Xenopus tropicalis: one gene and its partner. The protein of the gene in region 2 interacts with the protein of the main gene of each other region in a pairwise test. Links are inferred from orthologs where the notes say so. Each region holds a gene or a part of one and is shown on either strand. Other genes may lie near its edges. The genes, in order: dok2 and kifbp.

Region 1 (4,475 bases), on a different chromosome or scaffold from region 2:
TAGCCTCTGGGAAGGGACTGGGGCTGTGGGATAGCAGGTATAGTAGGAAGAGATGGTGCCTATAGTAGCAGTGGGGGGATAATAGCCTCTGGGAAGGGACTGTGGCTGTGGGATAGCAGGTATAGTAGGAAGAGATGGTGCCTATAGTAGCAGTGGGGGGATAATAGCCTCTGGGAAGGGACTGGGGCTGTGGGATAGCAGGTATAGTAGGGAGAGATGGTGCCTATAGTAGCAGTGGGGGGATAATAGCCTCTGGGAAGGGACTGTGGCTGTGGGACAGCAGGTATAGTAGGGAGAGATGGTGCCTATAGTAGCAGTGGGGGGATAACAGCCTCTGGGAAGGGACTGTGGCTGTGGAACAGCAGGTATAGTAGGGAGAGATGGTGCCTATAGTAGCAGTGGGGGGATAATAGCCTCTGGGAAGGGACTGTGGCTGTGGGATAGCAGGTATAGTAGGGAGAGATGGTACCTATAGTAGCAGTGGGGGGATAACAGCCTCTGGGAAGGGACTGTGGCTGTGGAACAGCAGGTATAGTAGGGAGAGATGGTGCCTATAGTAGCAGTGGGGGGATAATAGCCTCTGGGAAGGGACTGTGGCTGTGGGATAGCAGGTATAGTAGGGAGAGATGGTGCCTATAGTAGCAGTGGGATTATAGCCTCTGGGAAGGGACTGTGGCTGTGGGATAGCAGGTATAGTAGGGAGAGATGGTGCCTATAGTAGCAGTGGGGGGATAATAGCCTCTGGGAAGGGACTGTGGCTGTGGGATAGTAGGTATAGTAGGGAGAGATGGTGCCTATAGTAGCAGTGGGATAATAGCCTCTCGGAAGGGACTGTCGCTGTGGGGTAGCAGGTATAGTAGGGAGAGATGGTGCCTATAGTAGCAGTGGGGGGATAATAGCCTCTGGGAAAGGACTGTGGCTGTGGGATAGCAGGTATAGTAGGGAGAGATGGTGCCTATAGTAGCAGTGGGATAATAGCCTCTCGGAAGGGACTGTCGCTGTGGGGTAGCAGGTATAGTAGGGAGAGATGGTGCCTATAGTAGCAGTGGGGGGATAATAGCCTCTGGGAAGGGACTGTGGCTGTGGGATAGCAGGTATAGTAGGGAGAGATGGTGCCTATAGTAGCAGTGGGATAATAGACTCTGGGAAGGGACTGTGGCTGTGGGATAGCAGGTATAGTAGGGAGAGATGGTGCCTATAGTAGCAGTGGGATAATAGCCTCTGGGAAGGGACTGTGGCTGTGGCATAGCAGGTATAGTAGGGAGAGATTGTGCCTATAGTAGCAGTGGGGGGATAATAGCCTCTGGGAAGGGACTGCGGCTGTGGGATAGCAGGTATAGTAGGGGAGATGGTGTCTATAGTAGCAGTGGGGGGATAATAGCCTCTGGGAAGGGACTGTGGCTGTGGGATAGCAGGTATAGTAGGGGAGATGGTGTCTATAGCCTTTCATGTCTGCCAGTGGATTTTGCAGGAAGAGTTTGTTAGCAAGCTGGGAGTTAAAAAAATTAAAAAACTTTTGTTCTAAATAACGACCCATAGATTACCACGTCTGAAGCTGCCATACAAGACACAAGTCTTTAGGTGACTACAACTAAAATATAGCTACAGAAATTTTAACTCATGAAATTTTGTGTGTGTTTAGGCCTCACCCTGTAAGGCCGCACTCACACCCCATTATGCCTCTCACATCCAACTTCATAAACTCTGCCAAAAAGCCTTATAGGTATAGGGTGACATAAGGGCATAAGCATAGAGGAGACACTGACATATATAATTTAGTGTCTTGAAATCTTGGAAACTAAAATAAAAATAAATGCAATTTTACATTATACAATTAGGCCATTGCAATATTATATGATGTTAGAAATACCCAACAGCAAAAGGTGAAAAAGGAAAATGTACTCATTTCTATGGCATACAAAGCTCACCTTCCCAAATCGCTGCTGGTGCTGCAGGTGCAGAGCCCCTTGCTTCACAATTCCTCCATCCATTGCAGACCCTCTAGCCACCTTCAGTTAGCCTGAAACACTCTTACCAGCCTTAGTGTGCTTTCAGCTAATGCCAGCTTGTTCTTGGATGTCTAGCTCTCCTAACACGTTCTGATCTATATTAACAAGCATTTATTTATCCACCCAAACTCATTCACGGCTATTTGATGCCTTACCTATATTACTAAACTCTTCTAGAACCTTATCAGTTCTCCAGCCAAACTCTGGCCTAAGTCTTCTAGTATAATGTCAGCTTTCTAAGTAAACTCTTGCCTATATTTCCAAACTCAAATAACGCCCTCTCAGCTACCCTACCAAACTCTTGGCTATCGTACCAAACACACTCTTAGCTGTATCCTACCACATTCCCAGCTAGACTGTCAACCTCTTATCTGTTCTTTCATCTAGCCTACTTTACTAATCATGCCCAACCAATCTTACACAGTTTCCACTATCCTACAAAATCAAGATCTCTCCTATCTTTCCAATTCTCTTGACATGATTTCCGCTATCCTATAAAACTCCCACCAAGCCTACCACTTACTTATTATTCCATACTTACAGCAGTCTACCCCTTTGCACCTAAATTATTTTATGATTACATTTGCCCATCTAATCCTTCTGTGCTGTAATGGACAATACTCCTTCTTCTGTTTAAGCTCCCCACCTGCCTGCCCTGTCACATTACTCTCTCTCTGCCTCCCCCCCTTAGTGCTCACAGTGCTCCTACCACCCTCACTCCCTCATTTTCCAGGATCAGTGGTTTCCACCTTCATATTTTAATTTCTAAGCACTGCACTATATATTTCTCATTTTTAATGTAGCCTTTACTCCTTTTTGTAGCCTCCGCACCTCCTAGTTACTCGCCTGTCTGTAGTCTAGTCCGTACTGCCTCACTTATACCCCAGTGGCACCTTGTTGCCCAGTTTCACAGTTTTTCTCTTTCTCTCTGTCCCCTTTCGTGCAGTAGCTCTTATCCTAGGCAGCTCTTTCTTGCAGACTGTTGCACTCTCTTCCTCTCTCACAGGGTCTCAGTTCCTCCCTCACTTTAGCTTCCGCTGTGAAACAAACTCTGTCACAGGGAATATATGTTTGGTGCTTCAGTTTCTGAGCACTAATGTTTGCATAATGTACTGTGCATGGATGAAGCACAAATGGACTTCTCTTTAATGCATGGGTTTATGCTCACATTTTGCAGATGCCGAAACAGGTTTTATTTACTTGGCTTGTAATATAAACATTACATGACACATTAACCCCCCACAAAAAGATTTAATCAGTGAACAGCCTCTTTAAAATCTTTAAATACCTGCCACTCTGGCTGTTCAGAGGTTAATAGTAAGGCTGCAACATTCCCTTAAAAGAGAATGCAAGTCAAAATTTAAAAAGCATACTGCCCACTAGTCCTCCTAGCCACACTTTTGGCTCACCTAATCAAATAGTTACTCTTACACTTACTTCATATTTTCTATCTGTTTTCTAGAACAGGCAGCCATCTTTATAAAAGTATTCTCCCTTCCTTTCCCTCCTTGCTTCATACTGCACATGTGTTTCATTCCCCCTCTGGCAGATCCCCTTCTGATTGGCTGGTGGGCATGTGTAGCTCAGAACAGGAGACAGGATCAAGTTACACACATGTTCATTGCTACTGAAGGCTACTGCCGCTGGCAGCCTACAGGAAGGGAAGAGAGATTTCAGTGATGTCACTGTAGTCTTCACACTGCTGTAGGCTGCCAGCACCATATCTCAGAGAAGCAAGCAGGGATCTGGGAATTTAGATATGCAGTAAGTACTTACTTTGAATTTATATTAACCTTTCCTTGTCCTTAGGATTCCTTCCCCTCCTAACTCACTAGCCCCTCCCTTAGGAATTTACTTTGGCTGTTGGCTCCTGGGCATGCCCAGTTCTTCTCAACTCAGATTATTAAACATGCCCTCCAGTCTAGCAGCCAATGAAGAGAAGGCATTGCTGGTTTCCATAGAAACTCTGCTCTAGCTGTCTGCTCCTACTTTTGATCCTAACCTCCTCTCCGGAGTAAGTTCTGTGTAAAGGTGGCCATACACTGCCAATATCGGTCCATTAGACTGATTAGTCAGCTTATCGGCCCGTGAATGGGCACTAACGACGGGTTTGATATTTTGTCGGATCAGGGAACCGCATCGGCTTATTCATGCGGTCCCGGAACCAATGGCGCCTATACCCGCCGTTCTAATTCGATCGTATGGCCCCATGGCCGAATGACCGATTTAGCCCGACATTGCCCACCCATAGGTGGCGATATTGGGAGAAGATCCGCTCCCTTGGCGACCTTACCGAGTATGGCCACCTTTAGCCTGCATTCTTGATGAAATTTACATGGAATAAAGGTCTCTGTGTACATGTGCTGTTTGTAGATTTAAATGTCACTGATGATGTGTTCAAAAGGGAAAATGGCCGCTGGATGAAAGCTGCTATTTGTTTTAGGAAAATGTGGTGGTGCTGGCAAA
Region 2 (3,047 bases):
CACACTCCTGTAACAGCGACTTTCACCCCTGAATATATTAAAGGAAACCATTAACACAGTAAGGTATGCTAAGCCTGGAGAGATCACAGCCAACTTACAGGCTCACATGTATTCACAGTTGACTCAAGCACTGTACTGGTCAAAATTCAGCATTTGCAATACACATAATCATTTGAAATATTATATATATGTTATATAATGAAGAAACATGTTTATAGAGGGTTTTGTGTGGAGTCACTTTCATTGTAACAACTTAAACTTATGTAGGGGCAGCATAAATGAATAGCTTTCATTAATTCACCTAAGTACATGAAGCTAGCACTTAAAAAAATGTAAATCCTTAAATGAATGTAAAATGGCTCTGGGCACTTTTCTACGCCCCTTTGCCAATGTACATGATTTGTTTCTAATTTTAAAGATATTAGCAGTTTTTAAACTTCTAATATAATGAATGTAAAACAACAGCACCACCTGCTGGAATAGGTGACTGTAGGTAACTGTAGACAACTGGCCAAAATGACCAAGCAGGTGGAGATATTAGTTTAAATGCATTATATTATTAATTTAAAAATTGCTAATATCTTAAAAACTAGAAAGAAACAAGTGAATGGCAATTCCAACTACATTTGAGTTTACATTTCCTTCAAGTTTTTTTTTTTTTTTAACATGTATCTGCAGCTTTCCTGAGACATTCTCCCTATATCTGTATAGCGCAAGAGCTAACAAGCAGTTTCCATGTATCAAAATACGCTAAACCTTCAATGTTTCATCTATGCCAAACAACAAATTTAAATACAAATGTATATACAGCCAAGGCTTGGTAAGGAGAATACAGCCAGCTAGACCGAATGATTATGCCTTCCACAAAACATTCCTAAAATGTTTCTTCCCTGCTTAGTAATATTTGTCTTCTTTAACAGCAATAGATATTAGCAATAAGCTATTAGTCACCTTTAACAGCATTGGATATTTCTAAGTTATCTGTTCCTCCTCCTTTTTACTGGTCCATTAATGGAAGCATTTGGGGTATTAACTCTTAAAGCATTTTCCAGGTCTATTTTCTAACATTCACTCATTAGCTTGTGTTTATTTAATATATGGTAGACAGAGGAACCACCATACAGTAACTAGGAGTTTAGTTCTGGAAATAGAGGTAACAATAAATACAGACCATAAACCTCAGTCTTCATGTGATATTTACAACAAACATCTCATTGTTCAGGAAAATGATGCTAGCTGAATCCTTAGCCTTTCCATACGAGTAGGAAGAAGAGCCACCATCTCCTTACTAAGTTCTAGCTCTGTCTCAATGCACTTTATGGCTTCTTTATTAATTTCACAATAATCTACAATATATTTGTAGTTATTTAAGGATTTCTGTATGTTTTCCAGCTGTATCTTTCCATCAGTGGAAATCAGCTTTCCATAGAGACGTGCAATGCGGAACTTGGCCACCATGGCAGGACGGAGAACATCTTCTTCGAGTTTCTCAGGAAATTTCTGGTCTGGGCTTCTTAGCGAGTCCAAAAACATTTCATAGTATTTGATGGCTGTCTGTGCTAGACTATTGATCTTTTTGATAGTGTGAGTGTCCATTTCATCTAGTTTATTACCTATTGCTACCTTTAAATCCATCATCTCATAAGAGGTGTCTGCCAGCTCAAACTGAAGCTGCCTGCAGATTAGAAGATAGTATTGTGGGTTTAACTCTTTGCATAAAGGTTCTAACATGTCTATTCTACGCTTGTGCATTTTGCATCGCCTTTCATAATCCTCCTCAAAGAAGGCGAGAAGCTTAAACAAAGAACTATGGTCCTGGATTATTTCTATATGGTCAGTGACATGCCCATCTAGCTGAAAGTATTCCTTTGATTCATTTATGTAATTCTGGCCAACAAGGAACACCTCCCTTGCTTCTTTAAAATCTAATGGATGTGAACACTCAACCTTTTCCTCTGCTGCTTGAACTGAATCATATATATCGCTTGACCCAAACAGGATAGCCTTCTTTCTGTCCTTTTCTTTCTCATCTTCTTCCTTTTGTCTCTGTGCTTTCAGTTCTTCTTGAATGTCTACATCAAGTTCTCCGATATTGTCCTTTGTCGAAAGACAAAACAAAAGTCTCAGTTACATAGGAGCTCTTTAATACACAATAGAAATGCCACCCTTTTAGACATGAACACATCACCAGCAGGTCCAATCGGACTTTTTACTGGCAAAATGTAGCAGGATTATGCCTTTGTGGACCACTGTAATTTGCAAATCAAAGAAGGATATCACAGTCTCCTTTGGCTTTCATAAAAAGTCATGGCTCAGTTCTAACAGCATGCTCCTCTGGGCACTCGGTTATATTGTTGTGACACAGCAGACTTATGAGGGATTTATGACCGCATGTTGTCAGAACGGAGCCTTCACCGAACAGGCCAGCACTCTGCACAGCCTCCCCCCAATACTAAAGGCAAGAGGAGCACACAAACTCCCACTAAACTTCCTTTGTTACGGATGACTGGTCTGACGCCTGCTTTGAACCATAAGTCAAGGCAGTGTGCACAGCACAGCTTTTAAAAGTATAGGTCACCCGATAGACAAACGTTAGTAGGTCCTATAGAGCACTGTGACTTATTTCACAAGTGTATTTAGTAGTCAACAAATTAAGGCAGAGGAGTCTTACTACGGTAGACTAGTTATTAGATGGGTTTGGATGTAAAATCTGTATTGAAAAATGTTAGTGTTACTGTTCCTTTAAATTGACTTTTAGTATGTTACAGAATGTCCAATTGCTAGAAACCTTGGAACTGGTCTTTATTATTTATTCTTAATAGTTTTTGAGTTATTTGCTCTTCTACCCCTTTCCAGCTTTCAATTGGGCAAAAAGTTACTGACATGTGAGCCTAGAACTTTATTGTTGTTACTTTTCATTACTTATCTGCCTATTCAGCCCCCCTCCTATACCTATTCCAGTCTCTTATTCAAACCACTGCCTGGTTGCTAGGCACAATAAGACCCTAGCAACCAGAGAGATGCTAAAATACCAAACTGAAAAGCTT

Evidence for each region.
Region 1: the proteins of kifbp (region 2) and dok2 interact in a two-hybrid assay, tested with the Homo sapiens proteins (2 studies listed by BioGRID and IntAct). The two-hybrid records come from large-scale screens. The link is inferred for Xenopus tropicalis from reciprocal best matches to the Homo sapiens genes KIFBP and DOK2.

The regions. Positions count from the first base shown.
Region 1 is NC_030679.2:129,458,889-129,463,363, forward strand, and holds the start of dok2 (docking protein 2), read right to left. Parts: upstream 3,013-4,475; 5' UTR 1,992-3,012; coding exon 1,929-1,991; intron 1-1,928. UniProt on the Homo sapiens protein: DOK proteins are enzymatically inert adaptor or scaffolding proteins. They provide a docking platform for the assembly of multimolecular signaling complexes. DOK2 may modulate the cellular proliferation induced by IL-4, as well as IL-2 and IL-3.
Region 2 is NC_030683.2:39,061,355-39,064,401, reverse strand, and holds the end of kifbp (KIF-binding protein), read right to left. Parts: intron 2,098-3,047; coding exon 1,219-2,097; 3' UTR 649-1,218; downstream 1-648. UniProt on the Homo sapiens protein: Activator of KIF1B plus-end-directed microtubule motor activity. Required for organization of axonal microtubules, and axonal outgrowth and maintenance during peripheral and central nervous system development.